Caenorhabditis elegans: one gene and its partner. The protein of the gene in region 1 interacts with the protein of each later gene in a pairwise test. Each region holds a gene or a part of one and is shown in the gene's direction. Other genes may lie near its edges.

The links.
Region 2: the proteins of pola-1 (region 1) and div-1 interact in a two-hybrid assay, tested with the Caenorhabditis elegans proteins (one large-scale study listed by BioGRID).

The regions. Positions count from the first base shown.
Region 1 is NC_003281.10:11,140,845-11,145,716, forward strand, and holds the start of pola-1 (DNA polymerase), read left to right. Parts: upstream 1-1,603; coding exon 1,604-1,747; intron 1,748-1,794; coding exon 1,795-1,888; intron 1,889-1,939; coding exon 1,940-4,284; intron 4,285-4,872. Other genes in the region: Y47D3A.1 (F-box C protein), read right to left, coding at 1-62, 106-275, 601-690, 735-791.
Region 2 is NC_003281.10:10,244,509-10,250,454, reverse strand, and holds div-1 (DNA polymerase alpha subunit B), read left to right. Parts: upstream 1-1,895; 5' UTR 1,896-1,908; coding exon 1,909-1,999; intron 2,000-2,055; coding exon 2,056-2,236; intron 2,237-2,745; coding exon 2,746-3,074; intron 3,075-3,253; coding exon 3,254-3,433; intron 3,434-4,007; coding exon 4,008-4,187; intron 4,188-4,407; coding exon 4,408-4,633; intron 4,634-4,697; coding exon 4,698-5,256; 3' UTR 5,257-5,399; downstream 5,400-5,946. Other genes in the region: Coronin-like protein cor-1, read right to left, coding at 1-109, 484-591, 1,235-1,318. UniProt on the Caenorhabditis elegans protein: May play an essential role at the early stage of chromosomal DNA replication by coupling the polymerase alpha/primase complex to the cellular replication machinery. Required for the distribution of pie-1 in cell divsion.

The DNA.
Region 1 (4,872 bases):
TGAATTCCAAGTCTTCAATTATTATTTTGAATACCGTTATCTTCATCGTTTGTTTCAAGAACCTGTAATATAAATTTACATACTCATTTTCATAACAAAACTTGCCTCGCATACTTTCGTATGTTCTTAACATTAAGCTCTACCGAATTCAAGTTCACTGTACAATTTGGGCATCTTCTAATAATATCACAACGAGTAGGCTTGTGAAAGATCACTGTTTGATGCTCTATTCGAATCGAATGAATGATTCCAAAATTGAATGCTTTGTTGACCAGCTGCAAAGCTATTTATTATAACTTGAAATATAAATATTGGACGAAAACACTGGGCTCTGGCCTTCCTCATTGCATTTTTCGCGCTCTATTGACAATCGCCCGCCGGACAAGGCGTGGGAAAGTCGTGTACTCCACACGGACAAATACATTCAGTTTTACAAGCCGCGACGCGACACGCAACGCGCCGTAAATCTACCCCAGATATGGTCGAGCCAAAATGGTCTAGTTTGGCACAAACTCTTCCATTTCAATTTATGAGGGAAGCCAGATATCCGTGATATTGGACTAAAATATTTTCTTATCAAAATTTATAAAAATTACTCACACGTGACTTCAACCGATTGTTCATATCTCCTTTCACATATTTCAGAATATTGTCGACGATTCTTTGATTTGTGAACACTTTCATGCTGTTCTGAAAACCATTTCGCATTTTTTTTCAGATTTGGTTTAACTTACAGAAGAATTGTCGCCAACAGGCGTAAATTGGTTTCTATAAATTCTTGACAAACTCATTCCGAACGGCTGAAAATATTGATTGAACTGAATTCACATTATTCATTAAAAAAAATAGGTTAGCCTGTTATGTAGAGAAATTTAGTGAATAAAAAACTGAATATGTATTTATTTAATAGATTTCTCGGCACACAGGAATTAGGAATAACTCCCAAAAAATAGATATTTGGCAGGAGGGCCGAACAGCTGTGTTTTCCGTGACGTCATACAGGTCAATGGACACAGGATGTAGTCATATTACGGGAACACACAATTCTGAGAATGCGCACTGGGGCATTTGATTTGACGCGCAATATCTCTTAGCGAAAACTATTTACAGTAAGAATTTAAATTCTACCGTAGCGGGCTCAATTTTCGAAAATATATTTTCTTATCGAATTTTGAGAGCAGTTTTTCAGTTTTCCATGCTTGATTTTATTATTTTATCTTTAAATAAATTTTTTTCATTGAAAAAACGGGAAAAACACCGGGAGAAATTGATCTGGTGAGAAAATTATAATATTTCTGCTGTTTTCCTGTTGACAACTTTAGAAATGTCAATTAAACAACTATATTTTAAAATAATCATTTATTTTTTTAATTACGTCAACTAGAAAACATTAACTTTTTGCGAAAATTCACTTCTACCACACTCATCATCCCGAAAACAGCGAGGTCTCATGAAATTGCAAGCGCGCTCTACTGCAAGGAAAGGCAGCGCGCGAAGCAAATTTTCAAACAATTTTTTGAACGTTTTACCGCATTTTCTCACTTTCTCGCTTAATTTTGCTATGTTTTTTGCGATTTTTTTGTAATTTTTCTTCGTTTTTCAGATGTCCGACTCGGAAAACCATGCAGAATCGGATGTTAGACGCTCGTCTCGCCGCTGTGGAGTCAGTCAAAAGAAGTCGAAGGAGCTGTCTGCAATTGAGCAGCTGAAATTGGCGCGATCAACAGGAAAAGCCTATCGCCCAGAGGTAGTTTTATAGCAGATTTTTGTTATAAAACGATTTTTTTCATTTAGCTCGACGTGGAGGACGTCTACGACACGGTTGATGATGATGAGTACGAGAAAATCGTTGCAAAACGACAAAAGGACAATTTTATTGTCGATGATGGTATTTTTCTGATTTAAATTGTTAACATTTTTCAAAATATAAATTTTTCAGATGGAATGGGCTACGTAGACAACGGTGTAGACTTTGAAGATGACTACGAAGACGATTATGCGCCCAGTTCTTCGAAAAATTCAAATTCCTCGAAAAAAGGCGAGAAAAAGCCGAAAAAAGACAAGAAAAAGGGAGGACTTCATGCATTCCTCTCCACAACCTCCACCAAGAAGCCGATCGACGAGTCTGTGGTGAAAGCCGAGTTTGACGACGATGAGGAGGTGAAAAATATGCTGGAGCAGCTGGGAAGCAGCGATGAGGAGGCCGAGGAGAAGCCGAAGGCGACCCCAGCGAATCCGTTCAAGCGGGGACGAAAATTCGACTCACCGAGCGGCTCGGATTCACTGGCTCCACGGCCGATTGCTAAGAAGGCCAAGAGAGAGGCGACCGGGCTCGCCGAGCACAAATTCCAGCGGCATGTGAAGGTTGATGAGGATGAGGATTATGGGATTCCAGATGATTATCCAGTGGCTTCTCCGGTGACTTCTCCAGTGAAAACGGAGAAAATGGCAGAAGTCGAAGCTCCAACAGCTCCAGCGATCCAGAAAATCGAAGAAACAGTGAAAATGGAGACCGAGCATCTGGAAGAAGTCGAGGATAGTCTGGCGAAGTTCCGTGTCATTGAAGACTGGACAGGCGGGAGCAGCAGTCAGGAGGACGAAGATGTGAAGGTCGAGGTGAAAACCGGATCCGAAGCCTTCTACACGATGGGCGGCGAGGACAACACCACCAAAGCGATCCGTATGTACTGGATCGATGCCTACGAGGATGTTCACAAGGCCAACGGCACCGTCTATCTCTTCGGAAAGGTCAAAACCAGCGGTAACGCCTGGGAGACCTGCTCAATCGTTGTGAAGAACATCTGCAGGAAGGTCTACTTTATGCCTCGCACCAAGAATCTCAGCACCGGAGAGGAGTCGAGCCTTGCCGAGCTTCACAAGGAGATCGGAGATGTTCTGCGGAACAAGTTCAACACACACGAGTTCAAGTGTAAGATGGTGGAGAAGGAGCTGATCCGTGACGAGAGCTTCGGCTACGGATGCGGCACGAAGAGCCCGTTGATGGAAGTGCTCTATCCGGCGGAGAAGGGGAAGCTTCCCAGTGATCTTAAGGGTGACACATTCTCCAACACCTTCAACACATCAGTCACTCCGTTGGAACGGTTGCTTATTGAAAAGAAATTTATGGGTCCTGGATGGATTGAGCTGTATAACTATTCGGATCCCAAAGCGAAGACCTCGAATTGCAAGTATGAGTTTGAGGTTGATATGGAGAAGATGCGGAATATCAAGTATCTGGAATCCTCTGACGCACCACCGCCGACGATCAAGCTTCTCGCCCTGAACGTTGTCACAACGCTCAACGATCGGAAGGACAATGAGATTTGCATGATTTCGATGCTTTTCAATCCGAAATGCGACTTGGCTCATCCGAGTGGTGATAGTAAGGATTTGAAGCCGAAATGCCTCGTCACAAAGCCTCCCGGTGGATCTCTCCCCTATGACATCCAAAAGCGCTTGGAAACTGAGAAACTCTCGAAATTCGTGAAAAGTGTTGCTAATGAGAAGGCACTGCTCACCCTGTTCCTGGCGATGATCAATGAAGATGAACCTGATATGATTGTGGGACACGACTTGTCGGCGACAATTGCCTTGTTGGTTTCAAGACTTGAAAAGCTCAAGCTGCCGAATTGGTCTAGAATTTCTCGTTTAAAACGGTCAATTAATATTGGAAAAATCGGACATTCAAAATCAGGCCAATGGGAGCTCACAGCGGGGAGAATGATGTTGGACTCGAAGCTTGCCGCGATGGAACTTGTTAAATCTCGAAGCTTTGATCTCACAGAGCTCTCTCAACAGATCCTTGGAGCCGAGCGCCGTGAGATTTACGCCAATGAGATTCCGCAGTTGTACGTGGATTCCAAAGATCTGATCAGTCTGATCAATTGGTCTTGGAACGATCTTCTACTATCACTTCGGATCGTTGTTCGGCTTAACGCTCTGCCACTCTACATTCAAATCTCGCAGATTGTCGGTGGAATCGCTTCGAGAACGATGATGGGAGGACGTGCCGAGAGGAATGAGTATCTGTTGCTTCACGCGTTCGAAAAAGCGGATCTCATCGCACCGGATAAGTATAATAGCTCGGAGAGCAAGAAAAAGAAGGAGGAGAGCCAAGAAGGAGACGAGAAGAAGAGTGGAAAAGCACAATATTCGGGTGGTCTGGTGTTGGAGCCGAAGAAGGGACTCTATGAGACATTGATCTTGCTGCTCGATTTTAATTCATTGTATCCAAGCATTATTCAAGAGTATAATATTTGTTATACGACGTTGGAGTACTCGAAGGTAGCATCATTTTCGCTTTTTGAAAGATTTTTTGGAAAAATTTCAATTTTCCCCGCAAATATCGAAAATTTTTTGGCGATTTTTCCAAAAAAAAAAAAAGGAAAAATTTCGATTTTCCATGAAAAATGTCATTTTTCGGAAAAAAAAAACTGAAAAAATTACACAATTTCAATTTTTCCTGAAAAATGCCATTTTTTAAAACTATTTTTTTCCAACAAAAAAAAAGGAAAATTTTCAATTTTCCCTGAATAATATCAATTTTTTCTCAATTTTCCGGAAAAATTTCGATTTTCCCCGAAAAGAATTTGAAAAAATAAAAAATTTCTGGAAAAAATTTCGATTTTCCCTGAAAAATTCTGAAAAAAAACTGGATTTTTTTTTCGATTTTTTCAGCAAAATTTAGAAAAATAGAAAATTTTTCGATTTTCCGGAAATACATTTTAAAAAAACCGAAATTTTCGATTTTCCGGAAGAGTTTTAGAAAAAAAGTACTTTTTCCGATTTTTTCTGAAAATTTTTGAAAAAATGAGAATTTTTCGGTTTTCCCTGTAAAAGATTGAATTTTTTTTCAATTTCCCGGAAAAATGT
Region 2 (5,946 bases), 900 kb from region 1:
CTTCGGAGCACGATGCAATAACATTGTCGTTGAACGGGCTCCATGCGACTTCGAGGCACGGAGCCTTGTGAGCATCCACGAATGGATAGTCCTTGTCGACGCGACCGATCTGGAAATATTTGGCATTTTTTGGATAGCAGGAACGTGAAATGTCGGCTGCTTCAATTTAAGTTTCCAGAGAAATTGAAAACTTTAGTAACCAAGGAAGATTTCAAAATGGTGTTTTTGCAGATACACAGCTATAGGTGTAGGTTTTTCACAAAATTTCAGTTAACTTTTTTTTTAAAAATTATTGATCTTCTAAAGGTTTATTCAATAATTTTTTAAAAGTTTTTGTTTTCCGACCCCTTAGGTAACAGGTGTTGTTGAGTTGCTGATCATCATGCTCGGAAAAAAATAATTAAAAAATTAAAAATCCGGAAATAACATTTGAAAACACTTGTCAGGTGGGGTTTTTGTGTTTTATTTGTATAAAAAACTTACCTTATTCACTGGAATGACCATAAATGGTCCACCAGCCCCTCTGTTGATGAAGGCGATGAATTTCGGATTGACATCGCAGAATAATGAATCCCAAGTGATTTCTGTGACCTGAAAAGGTTGAATTCAAGTTTTTAAGGCGCCTTTAAATAGCGGGTACTGTATTTTCATATATAAATTTTTTAAACAATAAAAAACTATTTATTAATTAGTTTTCTATACTTTTAAAAATCTATTCAAATTTTTGGAAAAAAAAAGGTGTTTTCTTTTTTTAAACTTTTCTAAGAATATGAATTGGTATTTCAGAATAATTTTTAACGCAAAAGAAAATATCGGTGGCCGAGTTTTCTCTTTCACGGCCACGTGACAAATTCAATTTTTGGCATTAAATAACTCTCTAAGTTTAGAAAATAACTGAATTAACTGCGCATATATTTAAAGTTAAATAAAAAAATATGTTTCGCAGAATTTTTTTTGTTGAAAAAGGTATTTGATTTAGTGTTGGAGTTCTATGAAATTTTGAAAAAAATTAAAACATTTAAATTTCTTATTTTTCTGCGTTCTTAAATGTGCATTTCCACAAAAATCGAATCCAGGGGATTGTAAAAAATTTTTTTCAGATAAATTTAAAGGATGGAAGAAGAAAAAACTCGGCCACCGATTTTTTTGCGGCTACGTAGTAAAATCCGCTTTTCACAGTTTTCTAGGAGGTTTTTCTCTATAATATAGGAGTTTCATGAAACTAGTGATTTACCCTAATGTCAGACATGCAGCTCTCATGCTTGACGGGCTTACAGAACACGTGCCGGAATTTACTCTGCCGGACGATTTGCGCCATTTTCGATCTGAAAAAGGCTGAAGAATTGCAACTTTTCTAGTCAAAAGCGAAAAACGGCGAGAGTGTGTGAGAGCGGAGTAAATATGCAAGGATTTGCGGGTGCCTCCTGCTGCTCCTGTTGCTCTCCCGCAGGCAGCCCGGAGCCCCTGCAACTCGTCGGCTCCCGTGCTCTCTCCCATGTTACACTTTGTTGGCTCCCGCCATCGCCCCGTCTTTCGTTGAGATGCCTGCGTACTCTTGTTTAGCTAAAATCCTATGTGTCTCGGTGGCTATGGCAAATCCACAATTGATAACGTCGGGGGAGGGAATCGGAACACCCTTGACAAGTGTGCACAAAAAATGTGTGACGAAATGCGCGAAGTAATATAATAAAACTTTAAAAACTTTACTAAACAAAGTTCAAATTATTTATTTTTCTATCTCCTATTTTCTATTTCCCAAGTAACTCTTTGTTTTCTGCGGGGGCTCCGTGCCTCGGAGCTCGAATTTTCACAGTGCAAGCGCGCTCTACCGCAAAACAGGAGAGCGCGCGAGATTCAACTCGACTCACCCATTTTCTCATCAATTTCCTTCCTTTTTCCCGTCATAAAATGGCATACGAGTTCGATTTGGAAGATTTTAACGATAATCTTGAGCCATTTGGCTTTAATTGTCCCGCAAAAGATCATTTTATTGAAAAATGTAAGTTTTTATTCAATAATTATCGGAAAAAACATCAAAATATTGAATTTTTGCAGTAGAAGGACTATGCAAAACGTTCCGGAAGAGCGGTGAGGATATTGTCGATGATGTCGTTTCGGTGATGAGCAATCTTGGGCAAAAGTCCGTTGACTCTGGAATTTTGGCGAAATTAGAGGAGAATCTGGAGGCTCAGGCCCAGAAAACTGTGCACACGCCGAGATCTGTGAAAAAACCGGCGTAAGTAAAGGAAATCGCAGATTTTTGAGTGAAAAATTACATTTATCATCGAATTTTGCATTGGAACTCAAATTTATAGCAAAAATCTATTTAAAATGAGAAAAATCGACAGTTAAATGTTTTTTTTTTAAATTTTTTTCACGAAAATTCTCAAAAAAAAAAACAGTAAAAATAAAATTTATTTAGTGTTTTTTCTGTTGATTTTTGAAGACATTTTCGTTTTGTTATTAAAAAATTCGAAATCTAAAAATGTTTAAATTAATTTTTTCAGTTTTTTTTTTCAAAAAGTTTTTCGCAAACGCGCTTCACGGCCCAGTGAGAACGCTCCGCCCTCAACGGTTGGGTCTCGCTAGGTATTGGCGGCAAAACTGTAAATTCAAAAAACCTAACGAGACCCAACATTTTGCCGTAGAGCGCACTTGCATTTTGATAAAAATTTAATTTTTCTGCGCCCTAATAATATATCAATTTTCAAGTAAAGTCTCGAAAAAAACCGCATTAAATTTCAGACGCGGCCGTGTTCCGCTCGCAGAAAAAAGTGGATTCATCCTAAGTGGCGACCCCGATGACATTGAAAAACCGTCACATCACCTCACAAATTCAGCGATTGCAAAGCTTGAAGGACATTTTCTCGACTTTTCACCATTTCCCGGTTCCCCGGCTAATGAGAAATTCCTGAAAAGAGCCGATCCATCACATGTTGTCACAACTATTCGAGGGAAGAAGTATCAGGATAAAGGATTGAAAGGATCGACAAAAAGCGATGATACTATAAGAATTATCTCGAAAACGCCGAGTACATTGTATGGTGGAGATAAATCTTCTATGGTTATTGAAGGTAGAATTTTTTATTTAGAAAATGTTTTTCTCAAAAATTCTAATTACAGTACTCTTTAAAAGTGCACATCTTTTTGCATTTAACGAAAATTTTCGTGTCGAGACTCGTTACCGTATTTTTGGCACCAAATTTCGCTTATGAGTAATATTCAAGTTTTCACAAAAAAAACAAATTTTCAGCAAAAGCACAACGAATGGCAGATATCGCTCACCGTATCCAAAAATCATTCGAAGAAATTGTCGATTGGGGAAATCCATCGATACCGTCAGTTGATGTTGTATATACATATGGACAAGTGATTCATGATGAGACAAAGGATAATGAGAAATTTGGAGAGCATTCTGTTGCTCTTATGATTAGTGAGAATTCGTTTTTATGGGATTTTTTAGTTAAAAATTGAATTTTAGCCATGAAAAATTGTTAAAAATTTCAATTTCCAAAAGAATTTCTTGATTTTAAACTTCAAACTAATTAGGATTTCTGTTAGAAAAAAATCTATGAAATCTCAAAAATTGGAAATTTTTAATTGAAAAAACATATATCGAGTTTTTTAAAATAATTTTTTTTACAAAAAAAAAACGAAAGTTTCACAAATTTTGTTTTTATCAATTTTTTAAAATAATTTTTATAAGCTGAAATTTAAAATTTTCGAAATTTCAATGAAAAAGGCAAAATCAACTAATGAAAATTTTTAAGTTTTTTGAAAATCTTTTTAAAAAAATCGAAATTCAAAAACTTGAAAAAAATTTACGAAAAAAGCGAGAAAACTGTAAAATATGTCAAAAAAATGTGTATTCAAAAAATAGAGAAACCCCGGAACTTATGAAAAATTGAAAAGTTTCCGAAAAAAAAGTGTTTTTGGAATCGATTTCAAAAAAAAATTGAATATTTTTTTTGGAAAATAAAAAATGATTATAATCTAAAAAATTCCAGACGACGAAGACGGCACAATGATCCGAATGGATTTTAGTAAAATGACAGAAGATATAACTCTCTTCCCCGGACAAATTATCGCTGTTCGTGGGACCAATGAGACTGGCGAGGAGCTTCAAGTTGACAAGATCTTCCAGCCAGCGGCACTTCCAGTGAATCCCGTTGAAACTGACACTACGAGTAAGGTTTTAGCACAATGTTAACAAAAGTTTTTTATGGCCGAACTTTCAAGCAATTACTAAAAAATCAATTTTTCCGACATATCGGAAAACCGAAAATTTTAAGATTTTTTCGATTTTCCTGAAAATCTCGAACTTTTCCAGCCTGGCCGAGAAAATGTTGGTGGCTTAGTTTTCTATTTTACGCGGCCACGAACATCAATAAAAACCAAAATTTTCAGAAGAAATCTGGTTTGCGTGTGGTCCGTACACTGCGACGGACAATTGTGGGTATGAGCATCTCTGTGAGCTTTTGGACAAAGTCGTTGCCGAGAAGCCCGATATTTTGATGCTGGCTGGGCCATTTGTGGATAAGAAGAACACGTTTTTGAATAAGCCCACTTTTAATATTACCTATGACAATTTGTTGGAGGATTTGCTCTTGAAAGTTAAGGAGACGCTTGTCGGGTTGGTTTTTGAACAATTGAATTTCCTTGAAAATTGCAAAAAAATGATAATTTTCAAATTTCAGCACAAAAACGCAAGTGATCATTCAACCGAACGCATCCCGTGATCTTTGTGTTCCTCCGGTCTTCCCAAGTGCTCCGTTCCAACAGAACCGAAAACTCGATAAAATCAAGAAAGAGCTGATCTTCGTCGCCGATCCATGCATTTTCCGAATCAGCGGTGTCGAGGTGGCAATGACTAGCAGTGAGCCTATTCAAGCGTTGAGCAATACGGAATTCCATCGATCCGCAAATCAGGAGAACATTGATCGTGTCGCCCGTCTCAGCAGTCATCTTCTCACTCAGCAGTGCATGTATCCATTGGAGCCAACGGAAGTTCCAGCGTCCATGGGAGATTTGCTCGATGTCTGCTGTATCGGCTCGACTCCTCATATCGTTTTTGCACCGACAAAGCTTGCGCCATCAGCAAAATGTGTGAATGGAAGTGTGTTCATTAACTCATCTACACTCGCCAAAGGGCCAACAGGAAACTATGCAAAAATGTCGATTAACCTGAATGCCGGAGAACTCATGCCCGGGGAGACGGTCGCCGATTATGCTCAGATTCAAATTTTGAAAATTTAACTTTTTTTTTCTTCCATTTCATTTCATTTATTCATTCAATTTTCCTATTTCTTCTCACTTACTTATTTTCACATTATTTCCTTTCAGTTTTTTTTCCTCTGCACAAACAATTTTGCTTATATTTATGAATAACGTTTATCATCATCATCATCAAATATGTACAAAAGTGAAATAGTAAAGCAACCGAGAGTGGGTGAGGGACAACAACCTGATTGGTATGCAATGTTTAGTTATAATTTACGGTAGAGAATTTCTAGAATTGCTGAGAAAAAAAAAATGGAATTTGGGGAAATAACCCGTTTGTCGAGTTGGGGGAGAATGCGGGAATTATCTACTACCGTATATTATTTTTAGGAAGGGTATAGCGAATTTCAGAAAAGTTTGTGGTATTTCGCATTCTTTTTTTTTCAAAAAATTTCAAACTTTCGTTGCAGAGAAATTTTTATGGATTTTCAGATTTGGAAAAATTTATTTATGTTTTATTTGTAAATTATTTTAGCTTTTTTCAAAGTATTTTAACGAAAAACTATTGAAAAATCCACAAAAATGAAAGTTTCCAATTACAGTACTCATCAAAGGCGCACATATTATTGCGTTTAACGAGAAATTGTCGTGCCGAGACCGGGTACCGTATTTCTGGCGCGAAAAAAAACGCAAAATTTACAATTATGTTTGAATTCAAATTTTTTG